Linked DNA regions of Cricetulus griseus. The protein of the gene in region 4 binds, or shares a complex with, the protein of the main gene of each other region. Links are inferred from orthologs where the notes say so. Each region holds a gene or a part of one and is shown on either strand. Other genes may lie near its edges.

Region 1 (3,500 bases), on a different chromosome or scaffold from region 4:
ATAGCAACTTAATCCAGAAAAGTACCAAAGATAAAAATATTCACCCTCACTACATGTCTGTGTGTCTGTCCATTTCCAGTGCTCACATTAAGTGCACTCCTCTGACGAGCTATGTGGTCAGCATGATGGACCAACTATCAGCTCACTAACTTTGGAAAGAAATTTGCACTTTCCATACCAGTTCTAAGACATTTGTCCTAACATTTGTAGACTATCTAAACAAAAATACAATATACAAAAAGCAGTCTATGTAAAACAAATGCAAGCTTATTCCAATGAAAATTATCAAACTAAAAATTTTAATGTTGAGCAGTAAGGAACAGTTTATAGAATTATATGCACATTCTACCCATTTAAAAATCCTGAATTTTTCATAAGAATAGACCTTCAAGATGATGCTATGTGAGAAAAACAAGACTCAATAATAATAATAATAATAATAATAATAATAATAATAATAATAATAGAAAGACATACGAAAATAAATCCGTTTGAGGGTCTGTCCACCAGTGATAGTACTACCTGCCAGTCTAGGCTCTCTTATTCCACTTTTCACTACATCTACCTCTACAGAGAACTCTGAGTTCATTTTGTAACCAGGATGAAAAGTTCCTTCAGTAACAGTTACACAGAATTAACAAAAGGCTAGTAACATGCTTCCAAAGCAACTTTGAATGCCACTTTGCAAAACAGCATTGTTACCAGTTTTGACAGTAAATTTTACAGCATGTAGCAATCTTAAAAAAACCTATAACATCATCCTCTCTAGGAAGTAACTTAAGAAACAAACCCAACATCTTCCTTACTACCTTAATAGTTCTGTCAGCAGATCCAGTAACGAACCACTGATTTCCGGGTTCCACAGCAATGCATCGGACCCAGCCGAGATGCCCACTGATAACCTATATAACAAAAGAATGAAGTAAGTAGACTCATCCATACATTATTTAAAATGTATCCAATGTTAACCACAACCCAGATTTGAACTGCATCGCCTTCAAATATTAGTTCTATAAAATTGAGTTACATATTTTAGAGCAAGCAAAATTAATTTCTTTTCAATGAGCAAATGAATACTGAAACTGATGCATATCTAGACAAGGGAATACTACTAACCAAGAAAAAGGGATGCAATTTATCTCAAAATCATTGAGTGAAGGACACTATTATCAAGAAACATCTATTATACACTTGCAATTTCATGGCATAGTTTTTCTGTTTTAAAGATGCCAAGTATAATAACAGAAAATGGATCAGCAGTTGCCAGGAGTAGAAGAGTGTATAACTACCATAGTACAGGGTGCTCTGTGAGATGGTGTCATGATTATGGCAGTCGTTACTCAAATCCTCATCTGTTACTTCCATTAGACCCACACATTAAGTATAGAAGGTACAGTGTCTGAAAAGCAATTTATGCTGGCTGTCCATTTTCTATCTCATATTTTATTTTTGAACTGATGAATTTTGAGTCATCTTATAATTTATTACAGCTGGAAGGACCACTGGTCAAAGAAACATCTTTCTAAGGAATCTTCTTCTCTGTCACAGAAAACACTTCTCTCTTATCTGGTCTCCACAGTTAGTACCTTCCACCAATACTTTACACTGTATTTTATTTAGAAACAAGACACTAAGCAGCTTCACTTGGACATCTAAGCACAGTGCCCAAAGCTCAACCCCCTCGGTCACTCCCTAAGTTCCCAAACTCATTCTTGGCTGATGGGAAACCTTTAATGTGCACCGAGGCAGAAGGAAGTACAGACCCACTTACCCTGTAGAGTTTCCATGGTGGGTGCCACTGGGGTTTGGGCATCGTAGGGGCTTTTTTAGCCATTAATGCAGAATTCTTGGTATTGCCAGCCTCCATAATCATCTAGATGAGGGACAGATCACACAACTATTACAGCTATCATATTGAAGGTTTCAAGCCATCAATTCAAAAGTACAAATTGAAAGGACATATAAAAGGTTTTTTTTTTTTTTCTTTTTTCCCCCCATTAACTGAAGACAAAGACACCTAAAATACCCTTTCTTAACCTTAAAAAAAAAAAAAAAAAAAAGTATAAAGCTCCATCAGAACTCTGTATGTTCCATACTTTTAAAAAACCACCTGAGGCAGACAGAGAATCCTGAGCTCTGAGCAGACATCACTGTGGAGTTCCAAACCCAACTGAGCCAACCACAGTTGATCAACTTTAGGCAAAAACTTGGTAACCTCCCTTTATCTCTCCATCTTCTAATAGTAATTAAATATTATTTCAAAATATACACAACCTGATAAAAGTTGAGCATACTTAACCTAAAAATTTAAACTTTCAAATGTTCCAACAGCCACGTTTAGTTTAGGTATCACACTGAGTGTGCAATAGCTAATATATATGCTAATATATTACCCACCAGAACTAGACATTAAGACTCTATTGTTAAAGACACCACACACCTGGGTTGCAAGATACAGAGAAAACAAGATGGAACTGAAATGGAAACTCTCCTTAGCCAGCTTTCACAGAGTGGGAAGGTGCTGCACAGGCTCTCAGAGGAGATAAGGCATCAATGGTTCTAACCAGCTTTGACTCCTATAAACTTCAATAACAACTAGTTAGGCCAGACGTGGCCATTGGTATACTTGTGGCATTACTGTTATAGGAGTAATTAGCTGCTCTTTGCTTGGATTTGAGGTCTGCTACAAAGGAGGGAATCCATACATGGTACTATAAACCTGATCAAAAAAACATATGGCTAGGAAGTCTTCTATATATCTATCTTTATACCCATAGACAAATGCTACTCCTGGCCACAATGAGATGAATTTCTCTTTCAGGTCATAGTCATAAATGCAGAAGACTCATGGCTGTTCAAGGTTCTGACAGCAAGTAACAGTTGAGTGCTCAACACTAAGTAAGACATTTATACCCTCTCCTCTAAGGCTCAGCGAACCCTGCAGATGAGGATGTGGAAAGAATCTAAGAGCCAAAGGATAGGGAGGAGAGCTGAGCAATGCCACCTTCTGAGCCTAACACAGACACTGTAATCTTGCGATGGACCTACAGAAGACTAGCCCCATCAACAGACAGATGTGGATAGGGAGGGGTACATGGGGCCTACCCCTACCTGCTGAACTACTGACTACTGAGATTTTGGGAGAGGAGTCATTCTCTTCAGGTGTGTATCTACCACTGAGTCCAGCAAGCTCATGTGGATAATTCCAAACCCATGGTCTACACAAAGTCTGGTTAAACCCAGTTGGCGACTAAACAAAACATAAAGACATGAAGTACAAAGGAGGGTTGAGGAAGGCTAAAGGGTTGGAAGGAGAGAGTAATCAGAATGCATTTTTACATTTATGAAATGTCAAAAAAAATGTGTAATTAAGTTTAAAACATGCTTGTCAATATTCCAAGCCAAAAAAAAAAAAAAAAAAACCTAAAATCTGAAACACTTGCAGTCCAAGCACTTCGAATAAAGAATGCACAACCTAAGAAGCTACCATCAGCATCACC
Region 2 (4,032 bases), on a different chromosome or scaffold from region 4:
TGGGATAGACAGATAAGACAAATTTTAGCCGGGCGTTGGTGGCTCACACCTTTAATCTTAGCCCTCAGGAGGCAGAGGCAGGTGGATCTCTGTGAGTTCGAGACCAGCCTGGTCTACAAGACCTAGTTCCAGGACAGCCTCCAAAGCCAGAGAAACCCTGTCTTGGAAAACAAAATAAAACAAAAAAACAACAAAAAGAGCACCCCACACTTTCTGATTTTTTATTTTGGAGGCTGGCCTCTAACATGATCATGGTGATCCCTCTGAGTGCTGAGATTACAGGAGTTTGTCACCAACTTACTATCATTATGCTTCTGGAATAACCTTTCCTTCAGGCCCCTCAGACTCAGTGCTCACCTATCAAAGGCCTTCACCCGTCCCAGGAGCTTTTTGTTGTTTCGACAGTTAATGAGCACTTGTGTGTTGTTCTTGACCGACTGTGTGAGCACCGAGAGGGGACCAGTGTTGAATTCCTCCTCTTCCCGCTTCTGCAGCTCTTCTGGGGTCATCTCACTCTTGGGTTTATTGAGGAGACTCCTGAATAGAAAAACCACGGGTGAGATGGGTGAGCTTGGAAGTGTGAGTGATCAAAGGCACTGTCCAGTGTCTCCTCAACCTGGTCCCCAAATGTCCTTTTCAGAGGTGGGAGAGACATTGTCTATTTAGCCCGTTCCAGCTGTCTAACCACCAAAACCTCTCCCACCCACGCATTCCCCACGTCTTCACTGATGGCAACTCTATTCAGCGGGTTCTCTAAGCTAGAACTCTACTGTTTAATTGATTTCTGTTTTGGTGACAGGATCTCCTATAGCCCAGGTTAGCCTTGAACTTGCTATATAACTAAGGACGACCTTCAATTCTCAATTCTCCTGACTCCACCTCCCAAGTTCTGGGATTACAGGAGTTCAACATCAAGCCCGGCACTCTCTTAAAGGAAATCTACCCTCACATCTTGTCATCTGCCTCTACGACATATCCAGAACCTGGCTATTTCTATCCATGGCCTAATCTTCCGTTACCTTTCTCCTGGTGCCCGCCATCCCCACAACAATGTCTTACTGTGTAACCCTGGCTGACCTGAGACTCAGACTATCCATCTCTGCCTCCAGACCTCTGGGATTACAGGCATGCTGCCACTATACCCAGAACCCAAGGTAGCCATGTACTCTGCCCACTGAGCTATAACTCCAGCCCAGTGTTGCATTTTCAGTCTTTTTTTTTTTTTTTTTTTTTTTGTGGTAGCTACTCAAATTTCTTCATCCGCACTCTCCATCATCTAACACGTTCTCTGGTCTTCCTACCCCATTCCTTTTACCAGCCCCAGTGAGAAAAACTTTCTCTCGGTGGCACGGACCTTTTATACACCGTGTGTCTAACTTAACAACCAGTCTGTGTAACACCTGCTTGGTGAATAAACACATCAAACCATGGCAGTAGCTTGCTACTCTGAGAGTCTCCAGGCAGATTGAAAAAGCCCCCCTGTCTGTTTTCTACCTTATCCTGGTTAAGTCCCTCATTATGATTTTTGCTTGTTTGTTTTTTTTGGAGAGCCTTTCACTATTTTTTAATAGAACTCCCTTCCCCTGCCGAGACCTTTATCCATTTACGGCTCCCATTTAAAATTACTATTACTTTTGGAAACGGTCTCCATGTGCAGCCCAAGGCTGGGCGCGAATTCACCATCCTCCTGCCTCACTCAGCCTCTCTTGGGCATGTGCCACCAGGCTCAGCTTTCCTCTTACAGCTCTTTTCACAAGACTCAGTACAGAGCAGGGTCCCACGCCCGTTATGCTGTCGGGGCTGGAGAGATGGCTCAGGGGTTAAGAGCACTGGCTGCTCTTCCAGAGGTCCTGAGTTCAATTCCCAGCAACCACATGGTGGCTCACAACCATCTATAATGAGACCTGGTGCTCTCTTCTGGCACGCAGTGTATACATGGTTAATAAATAAATATAACCACATGGTGATTTACAACCATCTGTAATGGGATCTGGTGCTTTCTTCTGGCACACACTGTATACATGGTAAGTAAATAAATAAGTAAATCTTTTAAAAATAAAAATGAGGGGGGCTGGAGAGGTGGCTTAGGGGTTAAGAGCACTGACTGCTCTTCCAGAGGTCCTGAGTTCAAATGCCAGCAACCACATGGTGGCTCACAACCATCCGTAATGAGATCTGGTGCCAGATCTGGTGCCTTCTTCTGGCACGCACTGTATACATGGTAAGTAAATAAATAAATCTTTAAAAAATAAAAATGAGGGGGGCTGGAGAGATGGCTCAGAGGTTAGAGCACTGACTGCTTTTCCAGGGGTCCTGAGTTCAATTCCCAGCACCCACAGGGTGGCTCACAACCATCTATAATGGGACCTGGTGCCCTCTTCTGGCTCGCACTGTCTACATGATGAATAAATAAATAAACTTTAAAAAAAAAGAAAAAGAAAGAAAGAAAGAAAGAAAAGAAAGAAGAAGCTGTCCGGCTCCGGAACTCCAGACCCGTCCTTCCAGGCCCCACGCCCGTCCCCTAACACCTCAGGAGGAACCTCTGCCCCCGCTACGAGCACCCCAAGCCGACAGTCCACCTGCTAAGCCGCCCGCGTCCCTCCCTCCACCTTCGCGTCCCCGCGGGAGCCCAGCCCGGCCTCACATGGTGGAGGTTTCGATCGCAGCTCACTCCCGCCTCCGCCGCGTTGCCGTGTAGCCTCCGGAGTAGAGCGAGCGGAAGGCGGGACTTCCGCCTCCCTCCTCTGGGATCACTTCCGTCGGCGCCTGCGCAACCCGCCCCAGCGGCGTGGGCGTGTCACGTTGCCATAGCGACCCGGCGGCGGCTCTCTGCCGTAGGAAATGCCTGGAGGGAGGATTCCATGTCAGTGAGGATCACAATAGGGGGACCCCCCCGCTCGCGACTAAACAAAAAGGGGGAGCCGCCGGGCCTGGCTCGAATTAACTCCCCGTCTGGGTGGAAGAAGAACGGGGGCGGGGAGGAGGCGGGGACACGACACACAGCTCCGTTTCCAAGCGCGCGGCGCCCGCCTCCTCCTGGGGGGGCGTGGCCTCGAGCGAGCCAATCGCCTCCTTGCTTCAGGGATGGGCGCCGCCCGTTTCTCCTTGATGGACACCTGAGGGCGGCGGGCGCGGCTTCCGCACGGTCAGCCGCCACTCATTGGCTGCGCCTCTTGCGTGGGGGGCGGGCCCTCGGGTCTGCGCACCGCCTTCTGGAGAAGAAGGAGCCAATCGCGGCCGTCTGCGCGACGATGCCGCCGCCGCTCTGCTTCCCTATTGGCTTGCGTAAGCGATAGGGGGGAGGGGCGGAGCCTGGCCTGGACTCAAACCTCAGTCTGGGACGACCGGCTTCGGGGCCCCGCTGCTGCCATGAGTCCCGGGAGCCGCGGGCGGCCCCGGCAGCGGCTCGGGGATCGCGGCGCGATGCAGCCGCCCTCGCTTTCCAAGCGCCGCCTGCTGCCGCGAGTGCAGCTCCTGCCCCTGCTGCTCTTGGCGCTCGCCCTGGGCTTGGCGCTCTTCATGGTCTGGAACGGCTGGCACCCCGAGGTTCAGGAGCTGTCACGCAGCCGGGATCTGCGGGTGAGGCCTGCCTGGGGCCCCGGTCCCTCCTCCGTTTCCCGTGCCGAGCGGGTGACATCTCTTTCTCCATCACTCAAGCAAGCGCACGCCCCTGCCTCGCCGTCCTGGAGATGCAGGCGGTCAGCCTAGCAACGCGGGCAGATCTGAGCTCCGCGCCCCAAGACATCTGTTTGCAAGGTTCCCGTCAGGGCTCTAATAGTAGCAGGGGCCAGATCTGCCTTGAAGACGCCCTCCCGCTCTAGGGTGTATGCATGTGAACTCCAAGTCTTTGCTGCACCACCAAGAAGAGTCAGGGCTCCCAGGGGGCAGCGGCGCCCAGGAGAGGGTGGGGATGGGGGGTTTTGTCTTCATTCTTCTCTTCCCCACCAAGGTCCCGCTGATTGGAAGCCTTCCGGAAGCCAAGCTACGGACGGTGGTAGGGCAGCTGGATCCGCAGCGTCTCTGGGGCACTTT
Region 3 (3,500 bases), on a different chromosome or scaffold from region 4:
GATTAACGGCACAGACCACCAAGCCTGGTTGCCCTAATAGTTTTAAATCAATAAAGTCTGTGCAAATCCTCCAAAATCCAAAAAAACCAAAAAAACAACTCCCCCCTCGATGAAATCTGAACTACTTCTGATACTAAGTATAGTACATAAGGCACACTCAACCCATATTACCAAGAATGTTATCAAAAACACTGAAATTCATTAATAAGAGGGTATTTATTGAAAAACAAATTCATTTTTATAAGACTTTTTCCCACACAGTATTTCATTAGATCTTGGCACAATATGCTTATTTACTGGAGAGAGCTGAAAATTTTGAAAACCAACAGAAGTAAAAAGAGATATTTTCTTGTAAATTAGGCAGAAATAGTCTTCCTAAGAAAAGTGCTTCCTGTATCCAGACCATCAATTTGACATATGCTCAGATTTGCTGGAGTTCTTCAACTATAATCAGCACTTCAGAACTGTAGCTGTAGCATTATGTGGTCATTAAGGCTGCCAGAAAATCACAGCTTTTACTCTGAAAACTAGAACAAAATGCCTTCTTCCCAGAACAGTCACTCCCCTCAAAGCATCCCTGGCATTTTCAGATTAGCTGGCCATTTGAGTTTGATTTCCAAATGAACTACTCTGCTCCACCAGGACAGAGGAAACCTTTGATAATCAATTAAGACTATAAGGCTAACAGCCACCAGATGTCATAAAGCTCAAAGGCTCCCTTGTACAGAAAATGAGGCCTGCTGTCCCCACCCTGTAATCTGGGGACAGGCGCCCCAAAAGCACATCTATAACCTCTCAAAAGGGATAGCAACTACAATTCTATCATGTCAGTCACCACTACCTTTTGGTTCCAGACAGGAAGGTATTCCAGTCTCTTGGAAAACTTCTCTCTATCTTGCTGTACATCTCACTAATTCCAGAGAGAACAAAATCAAGAACAAAATCCTTTACTAACAACAGCAAGACTTCCCTTCATATAGCAGGATGCATAAAGACCAGATGAAAATAGAGACAAAAACAAAACAAATCCCCAAACAACAAAGAAAACCACCCAAACCCCAGGGCTATGCGGATCGAGGCAGGGAGGGTTTTCTTAGGTGCTTATTTTCTAGTGGGCAGCGGCATGGTAAACATGGGAGACAGTGCACACAGCTTCAGACAAGATGGTAAGCAGTGTTCTATTCAAAGACCATAAATACGCCTGGTGGCAGACACCTCATCTGTAAGGCCACATCATTGCCATGTAAGAAAGTGATACAAGGGGCTGCTCTTTGCAGAGAACTCAGGTTTGGTTCCCAGGACCCACAGGGTGGCTCATAACCACTTGTGACTCCAGTTTCACGGGATCCAAGGCCTCTTCTGACCTCCAAGGGCATTGCATGCATGTGGCACACAGATACACAGGCAAACAGCCATACATATAAAATAAATGAACCTTAAAAAACAAAACAAAAAAGAACAACAATAACTGGGTACAAAAATGATGTAGTTCATTCATAACGTTATTGCAAAATTAGGAAATGAAAAAAACAAAAACCAAAAAACAAAAACCTGTAGCAATAAGGTGGCGCATGCCTTTAATCCCAGCACTTGGGAGGCAGAGGCAGGTGGATCTCTCGAGTTGGAGACTAGCCTGGTCTACAAGAGCTAGTTCCAGGACAGCCTCCAAAGCCACAGAGAAACCCTGTCTCGAAAAACCAAAAAAAAAAAAAAAAAAAAAAAAAAAAGGAAAATATACTGGGAAAGAGAAAAGGCTTAATGAAAGCAGAGATTTTTTTGTTTGTTTGTTTTCTAGACAGTGTTTCTCTGTGTAGCCCCTGTCTGTCCTGGAACTCACTCTAGACCAGGCTGGCCTGGAACTCAGAGATCCACCTGCCTCAGTCAAGGAAATTTGTTCTTTGGTGACAGACAAATCATAGAGGTATGATCCAACCATTCTAAATTCTTCTCTGCTTATACTCACTTCTAAAGAAGTATGTAACATCATGACAGGCGTGTGCTAACGTTCTTGAACTGAAGGTTTCAAAAGCAGAGAAATAACTCCGCAAAGGAGACACCATGGGCTTTTTCCTCTACAGGAAAGTTACCTCTCAGAGTTACGGCGTGGTTTTATTCTCATTGTTGGAGGTGGGGCGGGAGTGAACACAACTCAAATGCAAAGCCCACTCTGATTCTTCCCCTTTCAAAGATTTCACATTTTTATTTATTATTAATAGTATGTGTCTGTGCGTATGTGACAGAGAGGGAGGGATGGAAGGGAAGGAGTAAGAAAGAGAGAGAGACGAGTGGGGCGCATTCACATGCCATAGTGCTTATAAAAAAGTTCCAGGGACAGGTTCTGGGAATCACACTAAAATCGTCAGGTTTGTGTGACAACAGCCGTTGCCTGCCGGCCCCATCTGTTCCTTCTTTTATTTGCATCTTACTCTCCTATTATTGTTCATGGGCTGGAAGGCCTACATTTGTAAAAGAATGCTCGGTCCTTTTGTACCAGTTCAATAGTGAAGCACAGTAAGATGAAACAGTGACTGTCTGCTGATCTCAAACCATGACAACAAGCATGTTCCTCCTTTCAGAACTTACCCCCATGACTTCCGTTAATGAACATCCTCCAGAGTTTACATTTATTTTACAAGTGTGAAGTAATAAATTTCAGCCTGTACTTACCTCTAACAATCGAGGAATCCAGCCTTTCCGATACCCGTATGGGGGAGGCTCCCTTCTTGAGGAGACCAGTGAGGTCTGCCGAGATCTCTGAGATCTTGCTCTTTCTTCAGCTTCAAGTTGGTCCTGAGATAGTTGTGTGGGCGCAGGTAAAAAGCTACAGGAAACCAGAATTAAAAAAAAAACACATTTAATTATTACAATTCAGCTACAATTTTCCTTTGTTCGGCCAATAGACTTTTCAATGATTTATAGAAGCATCCAATATTTATCACTTTCTTGTGTGTGGAAAGGAAATACTCAAAGACACAGAGAAACCCCTTCCTTGACTATGTATGTCAAGGGCAAAGGGTTGTTCAGACTTAAAAACTAAGAGGTATTTTTACAGTTGACAAGCTACCGAATTCTGCACTTCCATAGTTTACACAGAAGCCAACCTCCAGTGCACTGTTTCCTAAGACTCCTACCTGACTTTTGTTTTTGCAAAGTCTACTTATGTAGCCCAGGATGGTCTTGAACTTGCTACCTTCTGGCCTCAGACTCTGGAGCTGAGTTTATAGATAAATATTAACACAGTTATTTTTGTTTTTTGTTTTGGTTTTTTTTTTGAGACAGACAGGGTCTTATATAGATCAGGCTACTTCCCCAGTGCTGGGATTAAAGGCCTGCACCACCAGGCCTTTAATATTTGTCTGGACAACTTGTGGGAGTCAGGTCTCTCTCTCCACTATGTGGTTCTCACAGATTATTGGCAAGTTCTTTTATTCACTAAGACATCTCTGGCTGGCCCTGTACCCCAAACTTTTAAGTTACATTCTACTGCCTTAATCTAGCCA
Region 4 (3,942 bases):
AGTTCCCAGCAATCACATGGAAACTTACAGCTACCATGGATATAGAGTGAGATCCTGTCTCAAAAAAGGGGTGGGGTGGAGAGAACAAAAAGCCTGATTGATACTGGTGGAGAAACGAAGACCACAAGTTCAAGGTCATTCTTGGCAACATAATGAATTCAAGGCCAGCTTGAACTACATAAAACTGTCTCAAAAAGAAAAAACCCAAAGCACATCTGAAGACTGATGAGAATAGTTCAGTTGAAAGATGTATTACAACAAATTTATGACTAAAAACTTCATTATTGGCGGGGCGTTGGTGGCGAACGCCTTTAATCCCAGCACTCGGGAGGCAGAGGCAGGCAGATCTCTGTGAGTTCGAGGCCTGGTCTCCAGAGCGCGTGCCAGGATAGGCTCCAAAAACTACACAGAGAAACCCTGTCTCAAAAAACAACAACAAAAACAAACAAAGCAAAAATGTACTGAGACATATCTCTTTCTTGTCTCACCAGACCCTAACCTTCCAGGCTTCATTCCTGCCACTCTTCTGAGTGTCCTTACCGCCTCTATCCTGAACTTAGGCTACTTGCTTCCCTCCTTACCTTCACTATTAGTCATATTTGGGTCACAGCAGCCAGAGGGGATCCTGTTACAACCCTTGTCAGCTCAGAATTTTCCCATAGCTCTCATTTCACTCACACTAAAAGAAAAAGTCCTCCCCGTGGCTCAGAAGGCCCTTTTGATCTGGTCACCTCTGCCTTCATCTATGGCCTGACCCCTCATTCATTCCAATCCAGTCACACTGGTTTCCTTAGAGTTCTTTACATACTACACGTTTAAAAAGAACAAGGAAAGAAGGAAAAAAAAGAGGAAACAAGCAAAAGTGGTTCCAAAGAGTGTGTACTCTTTCTTTCTTTTTTTCTGAGAGTTTCTCTGTGGCTTTGGAGGCTGTCCTGGAACTCACTCTGTAGACCAGGCTGTTGTCGAACTCACAGAGATCTGCCTGCCTCTGCCTCCCAACAGTGTGTACTCTGATAGCATTTGTATTTCCCATCCACTCTGCTGTCCACCTCTATCAGATAATACCAGAATTCAAGTACTTTTTGGGACAGCCTGCTATCTATTTGTTAAAGCTTCTAATAAGGATGGAAGGGAGAAAGGCTAGTTGGCAAGGCTCTGGGACACACATGCACAGTTTCCCTGCTATGTGCAAGGAGGCTAGCCAGACGGGGTAGAGGCAATGATGGGGGAGGATGGCAAAGGGGCAGCTCACTGTCTCAGCCTGAGGTTCGCTGTCTGTTCCTTCCCCACTGGGATTGCATCCTTTCTGGATCATGGGAATAGTGAGCGTGGGGTCAACACCTGCATTCTCCCTCTCCTCCAGGGACTTCTTGGATTCTAAGGAAGAATGGGAGGATCAATGAGGCCATACTCTATCCTTCCAACTTCCTCCTTGTCTACCTGTACTGGGGCAGAGCAAAGGGGGAGGTTTCACTTACCCTCAATGAGCTCCTTCACAGCCTGGGACAGCACACCATCTGACATTAATACAGTCTTAGTTTCTGAGGATGTCTTAGGGCTCTTGGCCAGTGGTTGCCTCCGAGAGCCATTCTGGATCAATGGGATGACTAGTTCCTTGGGGGCTTCTGGAGGGTTCACACTGATGTGGGGACAGAGAGAAAAGGTTAGGAAAGTACAAGTGTTAGAAAGTGGAGATATCTACACCCAGCCGAAGGACCATGTTCCACAAGTTATTTTTCCGCAGGTCCTCCCATTTCTTTTCGAAACAGTTATCTCACTATGTAGCCCAGTCTGGTCTTATAAACTCTGTCCTCTTGGTGCAACCTTTTAGTGCTGAAATTACAAGCAAGCATCACCTCTCCTCGTGTCCTCAGCTTTAAATGTGTCTTATGGAAATCATTCCTGGACTCTCAACCACAATGACTTACAAATCACCATCTTCGGTCGAGATTCTCCCCAGTTTCAGGCTAGCAAACAGCCTTCCGGACAGCTGTCTTCCATTAGTCCCTCCCTTAGGTCTTTCAGATCAGTTTCTTAATTATGCTGCTGATGGCCTCCCCAAACCTGTATTTGCCGCATTCTCCAAATCGGAGAAGCTTCCACTATTTCAGTTGAGACACTAAAAGTCTTGTCATTCTCCCTCCTTTTCCTTTCTCAAAACGCACATGTCCTCAAGTCCCAATGACTTTTTCTCTGAGGAATATATACCTTTGGTTATCAGGCGCCATTTTCACCCACCTCTCTAACAAACCTCCTCCTTGCCCTTAAATTATTAAATTTAATAATAAATTAAATTTTAATTATTTTTCTCTCTTTTTAAATATAGGCTCTCATACAGCCCAGGCTAGCGTTCAACTCTTGATCCTCCGGTGCCAACCTCCCGGGTCCTGACATTAATAAACATTTGCCACCACTCCCGGATGCCTCCATAAACTTCTTGAGGCCGTGTTTGAGGCCTTCTAAATCACTGTCATCAGGGCAAACAACTCGTATTCTGCCCTCCGCCCACCGCACCGATTTCCAAAACGTGAAAGACCCAGCGTTTCACCTCTGTAGCTCCCTTCCTTCCACGGTCGTTAAGAAATCTTTCTCCTCAGAGGCCCGTCCTGTGCCATCTCTGGGGTCTGTCAGTCGCCTCCGGGCAGACGTGCGAGTGAAACCGAAAGAAATCGGGGCCGTTGAAGGGGCAGCCCGCGGCACACTGTTTGGGTCCGCCATCTTGTCCCGAGTCCCAGGCTAGCGCACTGCTTGCTGGGAAGTTTAGTTTAAGCTCAATTCGCTAGGGGCCGGCCGAGACGCAATGCCTCAAGGACAGGTCTTGAAGCCGTGGGAAAAACCGATCACGCTGGTAAACGGTTTGAAATGTCATAGGAACGCGCCGCGCCGCGCATTCTGGGAAATGTAGTTCTCAGTGATATAACCGTGGTGGCAGATTGATTCTCCCTAGGTTTTCAACCATTTGTAATGCAGGTCTAGGGGATCCGACACTGTCTTCCGAACTCCGCAGGTGACACACATAAATAAATGCAGGCAAAATGCTTATATACACAAAATCGGGCTGGAGAGATGGTTCAGAGGTTAAGAGCACTGACTGTTCTTCCAGAGGTCCTGAGTTCAATTCCCAGCAACCACATGGTGGCTCACAACCATCCATTATGAGGTCTAGTGCCCTCTTCTAGTGTGCATATCTACATGGAAGCAGAATGTTGTATGCACAATAAATAAATAAATCTTTAAAAAATGCCTCTGCCTCTGCCTCTGCCGGGCTGGAATTTAAAGTGTTCACTACCACGCCCGGCTTACTTATTTTTATTTTGTGTGCATTGGTGTTCTGCCTGCATGTATGTCTGTGAGAGGGTGTAGGAGCTCTTGAAACTGGAATTACAAAGCAGGAGGAATTGTCACAAGTCTAAGACAAACTCTATATGAGCTGCCATGTGGATGCTGGGCATTGAACCTGGGTTCTCTGGAGGAGGAGCCGGTGCTCTTCACCTCTGAGCCATCTCTCCAGCCCTGGAATACTTTCTATGTTGCAGTTTTCTGAGCTTTTGGATGAGGCAATGTCTTCTGGTCTTCGGCATAAAGGACAGGGAACTGCCAGGCTGGGACCCCTTTGCCTGGGTGCTAGCTCTTTCTTTCTTTCTTTCTTTCTTTCTTTCTTTCTTTCTTTCTTTCTTTCTTTCTTTCTCTCTCTCTCTCTCTCTCTCTCTCTCTCTCTCTCTCTCTCTCTCTCTCTCTTTCCATCCCTCCCTCCCTCCCTCCCTTCCACCCTCTCTCTCCCTCTCTCTCTTTCTTGGTGAGAGCAGGACTGTTGTTGCAAGTTCAGCCTTAACAACAGGTGGTGGTTGGGAGGGTCAGAATATATATTCTTTGAAATTCCTCCCTCTCCCCTTTTTAGACAGGGTCTCATTATAAGCAATGAGTGGCCTAGAACCCACCGAC
Region 5 (3,500 bases), on a different chromosome or scaffold from region 4:
GCACTGTGGCCACTTCTGAGCTGTAATAGTAACAGAGCCACTACTTGTGTGTCTGGGTGATCAGCCACACAAGAATATTTACTGTCTGGTCCTTACAGGAAGTGTGCTGATCCCTAACAACAGGCTAATTAGCTTGAATATGCTGCTACTGTAAACACCTTCAAAAAGCAGCTAAGGAGACAGGAATAAAAAGAAGTGAAGGTGTCACTCAACTCTTAGAAATACCAACACATTAGATGAAACTCCAATAATTCTTAAGACCTTAAAAAAATGCCTACTTATTCCTTAATAATCAATCAGAAAACCACCAACAGTTAGGCATTTAACAGTTGCCCACTAGTGGCATGCCAATGACTCTTCTTGAAAATTAAAAAAAGATACAAAACATAAAACTATTTATTACAGGAGTGGCACTCTATGCCAAACTTTAATGAGAACCATTACTTGATGAGAACTGTTATGCTTTCTTCTATCCTGAGTTTGGACAGCTCTGAGTTCCATGTCCTCTTTTCTGAATTCTTCCTTGACCCTTCTGACTCACATGAACTCTTTCCCCCACGTGCTTGGTGTTGGTCCACATGAGTGCTTTTCCCTCAAGTCTTTTTCTCTTTTTAAAAAAACAAAACAATTACTGGCTGAAATAAAATCCCACACCAATATCCACACAAAAGCTGTGCTGATTTGGTTGAATATGGAGCAGAGGCCTCTAACTTGATGCTATCTGTGTTCAAGATAAAAATCACCTCTTTCTCTCAACAGACCCAGGCTTCTGTCTCCACAGAAACAACGCACCCAACAATGGAGATCATTTACCTACTTTCCTGACAGCTTTACCATTAACACCTCTCTCACTTGCAATTCTATTTTTCTTTTAATTTTTATTTTATCTGGTGTTTTGCCTGCAGGTTTGTCTATGCTCCACATTCATGCTTGGTGACTGAGGAGGCCAGAAAGAAGTGTCAGATTCCCTAAGACTGGAGTTTCAGATGTTACCACCACATAGGTGCTGGGAATCAAACTCGGGTCCTCTGCAGGAGCAGTCAGTGCTCTTAATCACTGAGCTATCTTTCTAGTTCTGATTTTCAACTCCCACCATGCAGATTATAGTTCATTTCATTGCATATGAGGAGTACTGAAACAGCCTCAGACTTTTTCCAATCTCTCTACTTTTGCCAGAAGATTGATTAATCCTGCTGAAATCCATGAACCCATCTAAGCAAAACCCCAATTTCCTTAGTATTGCTTTACAAACTCCAGCACCGTTGTACACACTCTACTTTCTTGAGGCAGTCTCGCTATGTAGCCCAGGATGCCCTCAACCTTGAAAACCTGCCTGCGCTCTCAGCACTGGGACCTAGCTTACTGATTCTTTGACTTGGATATTATTTTCTCCCATTGTATAGGTGAAGAGACTGTGGGTATTAAACAGTTAGGTAACTTGCTTGGATTGTATAAAACCTATTCAGTTTTTTGAGACACATGTCTCAAGTTAAGCAGGAGACAGGAAGAGAATCTTTGTAGACCATTGGTTCTCAACCTATGGGTTGCAACCCCTTTGGAGAGGCTGGGCAGTTGAATCACCCTTTCATAGGGGTTGCCTAAAACCATTGGAAAACACAGATATTTACGTTATGATTCATAACAGTAGCAAAATTATAATTACGAAGTAGCAATAATTTTACGGTTGGGATCACCACAACATGAGGAACTGTGTTAAAGGGTCCCAGCATTAGGAAGGTTGAGAACAAGTGAGGCAGACTATCTTACATTTAATTAGAAGACTAAAGTTCACTAGCTTATTCTTAAGCAAATTGAGCATTATTCATGTGTGAACTATCTGAAAGGAATTTAATGTAACTAGGGGAGGTAGAATGCCATTTTAAAAAGACAGATCTATAGGTGTTACAGTATTTGGACATGGTGCTTTCTAATAAATGATACCACCAGAGTTAAAAAGAATTGTGGTTTAAATGTGTAATGGAGAGATGTGAATAGCAAACACTATTACCTTTCTGGCCTGCTCTTCAGCTCTTTCCTTCTTTATTTTTTCCAGCTCTGCAAGAAGAGCTGCCGTATCATCATCATCGCTCTCCTCTTCAAAATCCTCATCTTCCTCCTATGACAGATCAAGGTGACCCAGGATCCAGAAAGAAAATATACTTTCTCACAGAAACTATATTCACCAAGTCTTTAGAATAGAATCAATTTTCCTAATTGAAAAGCAAATGTACCAAATATCATAGTTAAGACCAACAACCAATAAAAGTATAATAAATAAAACCCAACAAAAAAAAATGTATGAATACTAACTAAAATGCCAACCCCTGATAAAGTACCTTTCATATTTAGATAGTCAAAACGGATTTTCTTTTTTGGGGGGCTAGAGAGTGTCAAGACAAGGTTTTCTGTGTAACAGCTCTATCTGTCCTAGAACTTGCTTTTAGACCAGGCTGACCTTGAACTAACAGAGATCCACCTGCCTCTGCCTCCTGAGTGCTGGGATTAAAGATGTGTACCACCACCACCAGGTCAAAAAGGATTTTCATACGGAAACATTCCAAAACAAGTAATGCTTCAGAATGAAACACAGTACAATGTACAGTGTCTCACCTCAAAAGAGTTCATTCATGTAGCTCAAAATGACTAGATTAGTAGGTGAGGATGCTAATATTCCAAAAGAAAATATTTTGAGTGAATAACAGAATTTCCCTTAAGGTAAGGTTTCTTATTTTAATAACTCTGTGTACTCTATAATTGTTGACATATGTATGCAATTAGATACTGCTTAAGAAAGGTCATCCTTGTATGTTCAGTTCTATAAAAAGTGGCAAAGTGAAGTTGAGAGCCAGGTGTAGTAGACACAGTTGTAAACCCAGCACTCAGGAGGCTGAAGTCTAAGGCTGGAAGCCTGTGATTACTAGGCCAGCCTGAGCTACAGACAACAACAACAACAGCAACAATAACAAAAGGCTGTAGGGTCCCAGTAAGCATTTATGCTCAATCTGTTCAGATTGAGGGGCCCATGTGCATTATGTGTCTAAGTAGGACATGGTATCTAAGGAAAAGAAAGTGCAGAACTAGGTAGAATGCTCAAAGGTGCTGTTCATAGGCACTCAGCCTGAGAGTGTCCTGTGGAGTTACAGCAAGGCAGCTTAACCTTCTACATGACTGACAATTCAGTCACAGGTGGGCATGTCCTTTTTCACAGACTGCTTTCATGCAGCCCTCCAAACTAAACCTCTAGTAAAAGATTTGAGGCAGAAGAATACTTTGTTTTAAAAACAATTATTAAGTTTAAAGTTGAGGTAAATGATACATTTCAGTAACAGTAGGTAAAAATAAATACCGATCATTTCACAAAGTCAAAATAAAAAAAAATAAAGAAAATATGACAAGTTGGGCCCAATGGCAGAGGCCCATTTCTAGCACTTAGGAGGTGTTAAAAAGAGAACAACAACAAAAAAGCCAACCCCAAAACTACATACATCTGTGAGAGGATC
Region 6 (4,121 bases), on a different chromosome or scaffold from region 4:
CAGAAAGAGGGCACCAGATCTCATTACAGGTGGTTGTGAGCCACCTTGTTTTGGTGGGAATTGAACTCAGGCCCTCTGGAGGACCAGCTTGATCTCTAAGCCATCTCTCTCCAGCCCTGGATCTTGCTTCTTGAACCCGGGGTCTCACCATGGCTTTCCGGTCTTCCTCAGCCATCTTGAGGCGTTTCTGAGCCTCTTCATAAGCCTGGGTAGAAGAAATCAGGTAAATAGGGTCATGAGGCCCAAAAGATATGCACATCTACGACCATTCCCCTCAGAATGACAAATGTCCTTCACTGCCCCTTCTCAGTGAAGAGCCTCTGTGATTTCCACCAAGCAGTGAGGCCCTTAACCAGAAAGCTCACAGGACCCTGTTTCCCCACACAGGAACCCTAGCGACAACCCTTGTCTTCCCAGCGACACCTCTGCAACCAAATCCAGATGTACCTAGCAATGTTCTTCACCTTTTTTTTTTTTTTTTTAAGATTTTATTTGTTATGTATACAGCCTTCTGCCTGCAGGCCAGCAGAGGGCACCAGATCTCACTCAAGGTGGTTTGAGCCACCTTGTGGTTGCTGGGAATTGAACTCAGGACCTCTGGAGGACCAGTCAGTGCTCTTAACCTCTGAGCCATCTCTCCAGCCCTGTTCTTCACCTTCTTATCTGATCGCTCCAGGACATTCCGGGTCCGGTCCTTGTCCCTCTGCCGCACCCGCTCTGCAAACGCATCCCGTTCCTCCAAGTCCTGAAGACGCTCGCGCTCTGTCCGCTCCCACTCATCCTCTGAGGCCGGCTTCTCCTCCGTGGGTGACTTACTGTCCCTGAACCCAGCCCAGCGCATCATCAAAGAGGGGTATCGAGAAAGCGTATCATCCCCACGGCCAACCACCTGCCCCGGCTCCCTCTCTCCTCGGTTCTGACTTACCCCGTCTTCCTCTTCCCTGCCTCAGAAACCTCTTCCTCGTCCTCTTCCTCCTCCTCGTGGTGTTTCTTCCTGAGGTGTTTCCGTCTTTTCCGCTTCTTCTGGAGGCTGCTCGAATCGCTGCCCACCGCTTCCTCCCCGCTCTCGCTGTCTTCCAGCAACTTATAAGATCGGTTCTTCTCCAGCAGGGCTCGGGCCTCTCGCTCAGCTGCCCGAGCTGGCTTTTCTACCACAGCCTTCCGTGGTACCTGTGAGTCGGAAACAAGCGGTTGTGAGCAGCTCCTGCCTCAGCCTCGAGCTCAAACCAGGCGTCATCATTCTCTGCTCAATCGGGCCCTCAGCGTCTGAACTTCCTTCCATGCATCTGTTTAGCAAATGATTATTGAAAACTACCCGATGGTGGAGGGCGCGACCCAGCACCCACAGGTTGCCCTCGGACATCCACCCACAAATGGATTTTTTTTTTTCTTTTGGTTTTTTGAGACAGGGTTTCTCTGTGGCTTTGGAGGCTGTCCTGGAACACTAGCTCTTGTAGACCAGGCTGGTCTCGAACTCACAGGCCTGCCTCTGCCTCCCGAGTGCTGGGATTAAAGGCGTGCGTCACCACCGCCCGGCCAAACGGATATTTTTTAAATGATTTATTTTTTATGTGCATGTGTTTTGCCTGCATTGTGTCTATGTGAGGGTGTTGGATCCCCTGGAACTGGAGTGACAGACAGTTGTGAGCCGCCTTGCGGGTGCTTGGAATTGAATCAGAGACCTCTGGAAGAGCAGCCAGTGACCTTAATCTCTGGGCCATCTCTCTAGCCCCACAACAGAATTTAAAAAAAAAAAAAAAAGGCCCAGAGTTCAAGTAGTTTACATTCTACAACCCAGTTCCCTTTTCACATTTATCTTTTATTTATTTACGTGTATGGGTACCTGTGTGCCACAAGAGACCTGGATGCTGGGAACTTCAGTCCTCCCGAAGAGCAACAAGGGTTCTCTCCGGGTCTCCATCCTATGTCTAAATCGCTAATTCCCACGGCTCCACTGTTCTCAGCGACTTTCCCCCAGTACTTGGGACTGAACCCCAAACTTACTGTACGCTAGACAAGCACTCTACCAACTGAGATACGTCCTCAGCCCTGGGGGGGGGGGGGCTGCACTGTATTCACCGTGGCTAACAGGACCCTAGGTTTAAGCATGCTTGCACAGCCCTCTCTGCTAAGTCTCCTCCACAGCTCTGTACCTGGGGTAACAGAGGGCAAAAGGTGGATGTTTGGCAGAGCCGGGCGGGAGTGCTAGGTCTCTCTGCTATGGGAGGCGCTCTCTGTCTCTCCGTCTTTCTCTCTCTGTGTGTCTCTGCAAGTTCGAAGCCAGCCCGTGCACTACACTGAAAGTTGCAGGCTATCCTCCGATACACTGCTAGCTTACGCTCCATCACCAGGCCAAAGACGAGCGTGCGTGCGTGCGTGCGTGGAGCGGTCTACATCAGCTCGGGTGGACGGCACACACCTTGCTCCAGAGCCTGAGCGCGAAGTCCCGCGCCGGCCCGCCAAGGTCCAGAGTTTCGGTGTCTCGCAGCCGCTGCACGAACTCCTCGGCCGAGGCGCAGCGCTGCGCGGTGCCGATCAGGAACTGCGCGACGTGCCGCTCGCTCAGCCCCAGCACCGAGTGCAGCTCCTCCTGCACCCACCGCTCCAGCCCCGCCGGCGTCGCCATGGCGACGCGTCCCGCTCCGGGCGCGCAGCCGCCGAGCCAGCCAGGGCGGCGGCGGGGCCGGGAGCGATCTGCAGCGCCGCGGGCCCCGCACCGCTGGTGGCCGTAGAGTCTCCCAGCGCAGAGCGCCGGACTGGGCAGCCCTCAACTGGCTTCCAGACCCGCCAAACCCGGAAAGAGTCGAGCTCTTCCGGCCGCAGCTTAACGGTGGCTGGGAGGGTTCAAGTCGCGCAGCCTCTTTCCCGATGCTCACCCAGCAAGCTCGCCCGCCCCCACCCGGTGATGTTGCGCTCGGTCAGCACCAGCCCTGTGTACTAGAAAGAGCGTTTCCAGAGAGTGCGATAAAAGGAAGAGAAATAAGGTTTAGGAAACAAGGCATAGAACAAGGTGCTGGGGATATTGCTCAGAGAACTCGAGTTCGATTCCCCCAGCACCCATATTGCTCAAAACCAACGATTCGTAACTCCAGCTCCAGGGGGAATCCAACGCCAAACACACACACACACACACACACACACACACACACACACACACACACACACACACACACACACCACACACACACACACACACACACACACACACACACACACACACACACACACACACACACACACACACACACACACACACACACACACACACACACACACACACACACACACACACACACACACACACACACACGGTTTTTCGAGACAGGGTTTCTCTGTGGCTTTTGGAGGCTGTCCTGGAACTCACTCTTATAGACCAGGCTGGTCTCAAACTCACAGAGATCCACCTGTCTCTGTTGGGATTAAAGGCGTGCTCCACCACCTCCCGGCAATTAAAACTATTTTTAAAAAGTAATTTAAAGCTACTTACTAGAAATATGTATGTTGGGCGGGAGTTCCGGTATCTTAAGATTTTTTTCTCGCCGGTCGTTGGCGGTGCACCCCTTTAATCCCAGCAGAGGCAGGGGGATCTCTGTGAGTTCCAGGCCAGCCTGGTCTCCAGAGCGAGTGCCAGCATAGGCTCCAAAACTACACAAGAAACCCTGTCTCTAAAAACCAAAATAAATAAATAAATAAAAGATTTTTTTCTCTTTTTTATTATTAATTTACTTTTTATATTCCGATCCCAGTTCCCCCTCCCTCCTTTCCACCCCTCCCTCCACTCCCCCTCCTCCCATCTGCTCCACAGAGAGGGTGAGGCCTCCCCAGGGAGGTCTACTAAGTCTGTCCCATCATCTCACTGAGGCAGGACCAAGGCGCCTCTCCAGCCCCACACCCCTGTGTCTAGGCTTGGCAAGGTATCTCTCCACGTAGGATGGGCTCCACTAAGTCAGTTTGTGCATTAGAGTTAGATCTTGGACCCACTGCCAGTGGCCTCATATATTGTCCCAGTCACACCATTGTCACCTATGATAAGGGAGTCTAGTTTGGTCTTATGCAGGTTCCCTAAGATTTTTTTTTTTAATTATTTATGTGCATGCGTGCTTGCCTTCGTATCGGCACCA
Region 7 (4,061 bases), on a different chromosome or scaffold from region 4:
ATGACTCTTTGGCATGTGATCCTGCCTTAGTCTCAGGTTCCCTACTGATCTTTGCACTCTGGAGTCCAACCTCTGGGGCAGGCAAAGGAGAACTGGAGACAGAGGGAGCAGGAGCCTCTGGTCTGGGGAGAAAAGAAACCAAGCCTGTTAAATGCACAGAAGGAAAGTAGCAGCTTCCCCGTGCCTCCCAAGCCTGAAGAGCAGTGTTTCCTAAACTGAGTTCCTGAGTTTTTTGTTTTTTTTTTTTTTCTTTTCCTCGGTTTTTTGAGACAAGGTTTCTCTGTGGCTTTGGAGGCTGTTGGAACTAGCTCTTGTAGATCAGGCTGGTTTAGAACTCACAGAGATCTGCCTACCTCTGCCTCCCAGAGTGCTGGGACTAAAGGCGTGAGCCACCACTGCCTGGCTAGTTCCTGAGGTTTTTTTGTTTGCTTTTTTGGAGATAGAGTACATATGATGGACCTGGAATTTACTAGGTAGATGAGGCTGTCCTTAAATTTACAGAGATCCACTTGCCTCTGCCTCCTAAGTACTGGGATTAAAAGTGTATACCACCACACCCAGCTTGAGTTCCATAAGATCTTAAATATTTTACATATGAAAGATTTTGGAATTAGGAACTTGAGAAAAGCCAGCTTAATAGTTCTACGCTTTTGCCTCAAGATTTTCCATAACCAGGTATGGTGGTACACACTTTTAGTACCTGCAGCACTTAAGGGGCAGAGAAAGGCAGATCTCTGTAAGTTTGAGGCCACCCTGGTCTAAATAGCAGGGTTCCAGGACAGCCAGGGCTACAAAGGGAGATCCCCTCTCAATAACAAACAAAAAAGTGTACCACTATGCCCAGATTATGTTACTTTTTTTTTTTTTTCCTCTGTAGCCCCGGCTGGCCTGGAACTCAGAGACCCACTGGCCTTGCTTCTGGAGTGCCAGGATTAAAGGCGTGTGCCACCATCCAGCAATAATGTTACTATTTTTTTGTGTGTGTGTGCATTATTTTGTTTTTCAAGGCAGGGTTTTTGTTTGTTTGGTGTAGACTTGGCTGTCCTGGAACTCACTCTATAGATCAGAGATCTACTTGCCTTGTCTCCGGAGTGCTGGGATTAAAGTGTGAGCCACCAACACCCGGCTAAAATTTATTTTAAAATCACAAACTATCACCAGGCGATGGTGTCCCACGCCTTTAATTGCAGTACTCAGGAGGCAGAGGCAGGGGGATCTCTGTGAGTTCGAGGCCAGCCTGGTCACCAGAGCAAGTGCCAGGATAGGCTCCAAAGCTACAGAGAGAAACTCTTGTCTTGAAAAACCAAAACAAAAAACAAAAACAAAACAAACCACAAACTATCATTTTTCTTTAAACAACATCTCCACAAGATTAGTGTTTCTCAGAGTACAGTTTGGAGAGCAGTAACTTCAGAACCATCTATTTCCTTCTACCCTTTCCCACTTCCGGATTTCCCCCTCTACAGACCTGTGCTTCCTCCGGCAGCAACTGCTATAGTGAGGAGCTCTGTGCAGAGCACTCTGGGTGATTAATCGAGTCTGGGTTAGCAAAGGTGCCTGGTTATCAAGAGAAGAAGACACAGTTGGAGATGTTAGGCAAAAGTCCTGTTGCATGCAGTACAGCCCTGCCTGAACAACACCTGACCAGATCTCTCACCTCGGCTTTGCTTTCTGTCTTCAATTCATTTTGCTGTCTTGGTTTTTGCTCTGTTTTCTTGCCTGATTGCTTTTTGCCATAGAAGAGCTTCAAACCTGAAAAGGAAAGCAAGCACAACATCAAGTAGACTGACAAAATGTTCAGAGTGTATTCTCTATCATTCCTCCACTCCCCGCCTTCTCCTGTACTTACTGGATAGGTGCTTCTTGCCTGCACGGTGGGCAGTCAGCATGGCCAGCGTGTCCAGGACTGGTCGATGGGGGCAGATAGCGCAAGCAAAGCTAGGGAAAAGAGAAGTGAATGGCAAACCCGTATGTGTTGGAGAGCCGGTGGTTGGGGTGTTCCTACTTAGGGGCTATGCCTGTCAAAGCACTCCACCAACGCCCAGGTCTCCCGATCGCCACCTCTTCCAATCTTCACTTCCAACCAAAGGATCTATTACACTCCTGATCTCCTTAGAAACCAAAGTCTGTTGAGCCTCTGATAGCAAATCCCCAGGCTTGATCCACTCTGCTCTCACCGTCCATCCCGCAGCATTAGCGCCTCATCCTCTGGGATGTAACTGGCCAGCAAGTCTCCAACTCTTCGTTTCTGCAGAGAGCAGGACAGGAGAAACGAATATGAGGGATGGATGAAAAGAAATAACAGGGATAAAGAGTCAAATGGAGCAGACCATAGGGTAAGAAGGAGGAGGCATCACTCAGTTCTGGCCCCCGAAACCCCCTCCCACAGATGTCGCCAGAGCAACAAAACAATGCAAAGCGCGACTGAAGCTGGGCTCTCCCTCTCTCTAGTTCTTTGATTTTTCGAGACAGGGTTTCTTCGTGTAGCCTTGACTGTTCTAGAGCTGGCTGTGTGGACCAGGCTGGCCTCGAACCTCAAACGCAACACGGACACACCGGCTTTTGCCTCGCAAGTGCTGGGATTCAAAGCGTGCGCCACCACTGCTCGTGGGTAGACTCTCACTAGGGCTTACTTTGAGCACATTGAGCTGACTCCAGTCGTCACCTTCCCTCTTGAAAGACATCACGACTGTGAGTCTTAGAAATAATAAATTCTCCTACGCCTACTTTGCCTCTCCTTCGGGCCACCGTAGGAAGAGTAGGTTATCGCCTTCCCTGCTTCCGGTCTTTTTCTGATTAAGTCTTTACTTCCGGGGATGCGTTTCCACGCATGCACCGCGCGAGCCGGAAGACCCGCCTCCAGAGCCCTGAGGGTGCCTGCATTTCCTATGATGCCCTGAGAACGCTTTGCCTTTTGGGAAATGAAGTCTTTTAGTTATTTTCTTTTTTTTGTTGTTTTTAAAAGACCTCACCGCTCACCTGAGTACAGGCACTCACATCGCGAAGGACCCAGGTGTTTGGAGACCAAGAACCTGTACGTGGAGCCGGAGTTTCAGGGTGGGACCCTCCTGGCGTGGAGCGAGGCTTCGGGGATCTCAGTGGACCGTGTACTGCAAACTCTCTCAGTCCCCAGGCTCACCGTCCACAGCCACGATCTACCTGGGGTGGGCCTGATTTGGAGCAGAGAGGATGTGGGGGCTCCCGGCGGCCCGGCTGCGGGACGTGGGGACACACTGAGGGGAGAGTGTTGATGAGGGTGTCTAGGGTTCAAAGGTCAGAGATCAGGCTTGCAAGGAGTTGGGGAGAGGGCGTCGAAAGTCGAAGGGGTCGGCGACCGACCACTCAGGGAAGATATTTATGGGCAAGGGTCTTGAGGAAGGAGAAATGTAACCGGCCTGGCAGCCTTCTTAGGGTACGGACTGTGACCCCAAGCTCGGTAAGCAGCAGCAAGAGGAGCATTGATGTAGTCTCTCGAGAGCGGGGACACTAAAGAGAGAAGTGAGAAGGAATTCCTAGAATATCTATCCATTCCTGGGGTTCGGCCCTCACTGTTGGTCACTTAGCTTTCCTCAGTTGTGACCCTAGATCTTGGCATCTTGAGATGGCTTCTCCCTCTAGACAGCCCCCACTTGGGGGGTCAGGGCTGCTGCATGGGAGCCGTGCTCGTTCTTATGGAAGCCTGGTACAATCATCGTGCTCCCCGGTGAGGGAAAGACGCTTGGAGCATCAGTTGGAGCCTGGAGACACCCTGGCTGGACTAGCACTCAAATACGGGGTGACGGTGAGTCTTCCAAGGATTGTGGTGTGGTGACCATTCAGGAGAGATTTAGTGCCCAGGAGAAACTGGGTGGTCTGCTAAGCGGCCTTCCCTGATGTTATATTAATTATATTGTGGTCTCTGCTTTGTCTTATTTTGTTTACACCTCTCAGGGTAGCACTATCCACACTCACAGACCTGCCCTACTATCCCAGTGGGAGGAGCAGCTCCTTGGATTGGGTTGGATGCCGGGATAGGGTGGTGGTTGGGGTGTGGTTTATAGCCATTAACCTATTTGGATCTT

What was found.
Region 1: Gpkow (region 4) and Plrg1 share a complex: the UniProt entries of both Homo sapiens proteins name them as parts of the minor spliceosome. The link is inferred for Cricetulus griseus from reciprocal best matches to the Homo sapiens genes GPKOW and PLRG1.
Region 2: Gpkow (region 4) and Snrpd2 share a complex: the UniProt entries of both Homo sapiens proteins name them as parts of the minor spliceosome. The link is inferred for Cricetulus griseus from reciprocal best matches to the Homo sapiens genes GPKOW and SNRPD2.
Region 3: Gpkow (region 4) and Snw1 share a complex: the UniProt entries of both Homo sapiens proteins name them as parts of the minor spliceosome. The link is inferred for Cricetulus griseus from reciprocal best matches to the Homo sapiens genes GPKOW and SNW1.
Region 5: Gpkow (region 4) and Cwc15 share a complex: the UniProt entries of both Homo sapiens proteins name them as parts of the minor spliceosome. The link is inferred for Cricetulus griseus from reciprocal best matches to the Homo sapiens genes GPKOW and CWC15.
Region 6: Gpkow (region 4) and Dhx16 share a complex: the UniProt entries of both Homo sapiens proteins name them as parts of the minor spliceosome. The link is inferred for Cricetulus griseus from reciprocal best matches to the Homo sapiens genes GPKOW and DHX16.
Region 7: Gpkow (region 4) and Scnm1 share a complex: the UniProt entries of both Homo sapiens proteins name them as parts of the minor spliceosome. The link is inferred for Cricetulus griseus from reciprocal best matches to the Homo sapiens genes GPKOW and SCNM1.

The regions. Positions count from the first base shown.
Region 1 is NW_023276806.1:71,276,789-71,280,288, forward strand, and holds part of Plrg1 (pleiotropic regulator 1), read right to left. Parts: intron 1,874-3,500; coding exon 1,772-1,873; intron 903-1,771; coding exon 810-902; intron 1-809. UniProt on the Homo sapiens protein: Involved in pre-mRNA splicing as component of the spliceosome. Component of the PRP19-CDC5L complex that forms an integral part of the spliceosome and is required for activating pre-mRNA splicing.
Region 2 is NC_048602.1:28,213,612-28,217,643, forward strand, and holds the start of Snrpd2 (small nuclear ribonucleoprotein Sm D2), read right to left. Parts: upstream 2,801-4,032; 5' UTR 2,647-2,800; coding exon 2,645-2,646; intron 538-2,644; coding exon 358-537; intron 1-357. Other genes in the region: Qpctl (glutaminyl-peptide cyclotransferase-like protein), read left to right, coding at 3,370-3,579, 3,950-4,032. UniProt on the Homo sapiens protein: Plays a role in pre-mRNA splicing as a core component of the spliceosomal U1, U2, U4 and U5 small nuclear ribonucleoproteins (snRNPs), the building blocks of the spliceosome.
Region 3 is NC_048598.1:116,328,735-116,332,234, reverse strand, and holds part of Snw1 (SNW domain-containing protein 1), read right to left. Parts: intron 2,822-3,500; coding exon 2,668-2,821; intron 1-2,667. UniProt on the Homo sapiens protein: Involved in pre-mRNA splicing as component of the spliceosome. As a component of the minor spliceosome, involved in the splicing of U12-type introns in pre-mRNAs.
Region 4 is NC_048604.1:114,159,224-114,163,165, reverse strand, and holds the start of Gpkow (G-patch domain and KOW motifs-containing protein), read right to left. Parts: upstream 2,801-3,942; 5' UTR 2,719-2,800; coding exon 2,549-2,718; intron 1,640-2,548; coding exon 1,479-1,639; intron 1,378-1,478; coding exon 1,253-1,377; intron 1-1,252. UniProt on the Homo sapiens protein: RNA-binding protein involved in pre-mRNA splicing. As a component of the minor spliceosome, involved in the splicing of U12-type introns in pre-mRNAs.
Region 5 is NC_048597.1:127,979,322-127,982,821, reverse strand, and holds part of Cwc15 (spliceosome-associated protein CWC15 homolog), read right to left. Parts: coding exon 3,486-3,500; intron 2,117-3,485; coding exon 2,009-2,116; intron 1-2,008. UniProt on the Homo sapiens protein: Involved in pre-mRNA splicing as component of the spliceosome. Component of the PRP19-CDC5L complex that forms an integral part of the spliceosome and is required for activating pre-mRNA splicing.
Region 6 is NW_023276806.1:229,782,775-229,786,895, reverse strand, and holds the start of Dhx16 (pre-mRNA-splicing factor ATP-dependent RNA helicase DHX16), read right to left. Parts: upstream 2,801-4,121; 5' UTR 2,627-2,800; coding exon 2,420-2,626; intron 1,171-2,419; coding exon 926-1,170; intron 822-925; coding exon 656-821; intron 206-655; coding exon 149-205; intron 1-148. UniProt on the Homo sapiens protein: Required for pre-mRNA splicing as a component of the spliceosome. Contributes to pre-mRNA splicing after spliceosome formation and prior to the first transesterification reaction.
Region 7 is NW_023276806.1:61,367,317-61,371,377, reverse strand, and holds the start of Scnm1 (sodium channel modifier 1), read right to left. Parts: upstream 2,801-4,061; 5' UTR 2,685-2,800; coding exon 2,634-2,684; intron 2,249-2,633; coding exon 2,178-2,248; intron 1,939-2,177; coding exon 1,850-1,938; intron 1,753-1,849; coding exon 1,658-1,752; intron 1,558-1,657; coding exon 1,469-1,557; intron 123-1,468; coding exon 1-122. Other genes in the region: Lysmd1 (lysM and putative peptidoglycan-binding domain-containing protein 1), read left to right, coding at 2,922-3,034, 3,586-3,781. UniProt on the Homo sapiens protein: As a component of the minor spliceosome, involved in the splicing of U12-type introns in pre-mRNAs. Plays a role in the regulation of primary cilia length and Hedgehog signaling.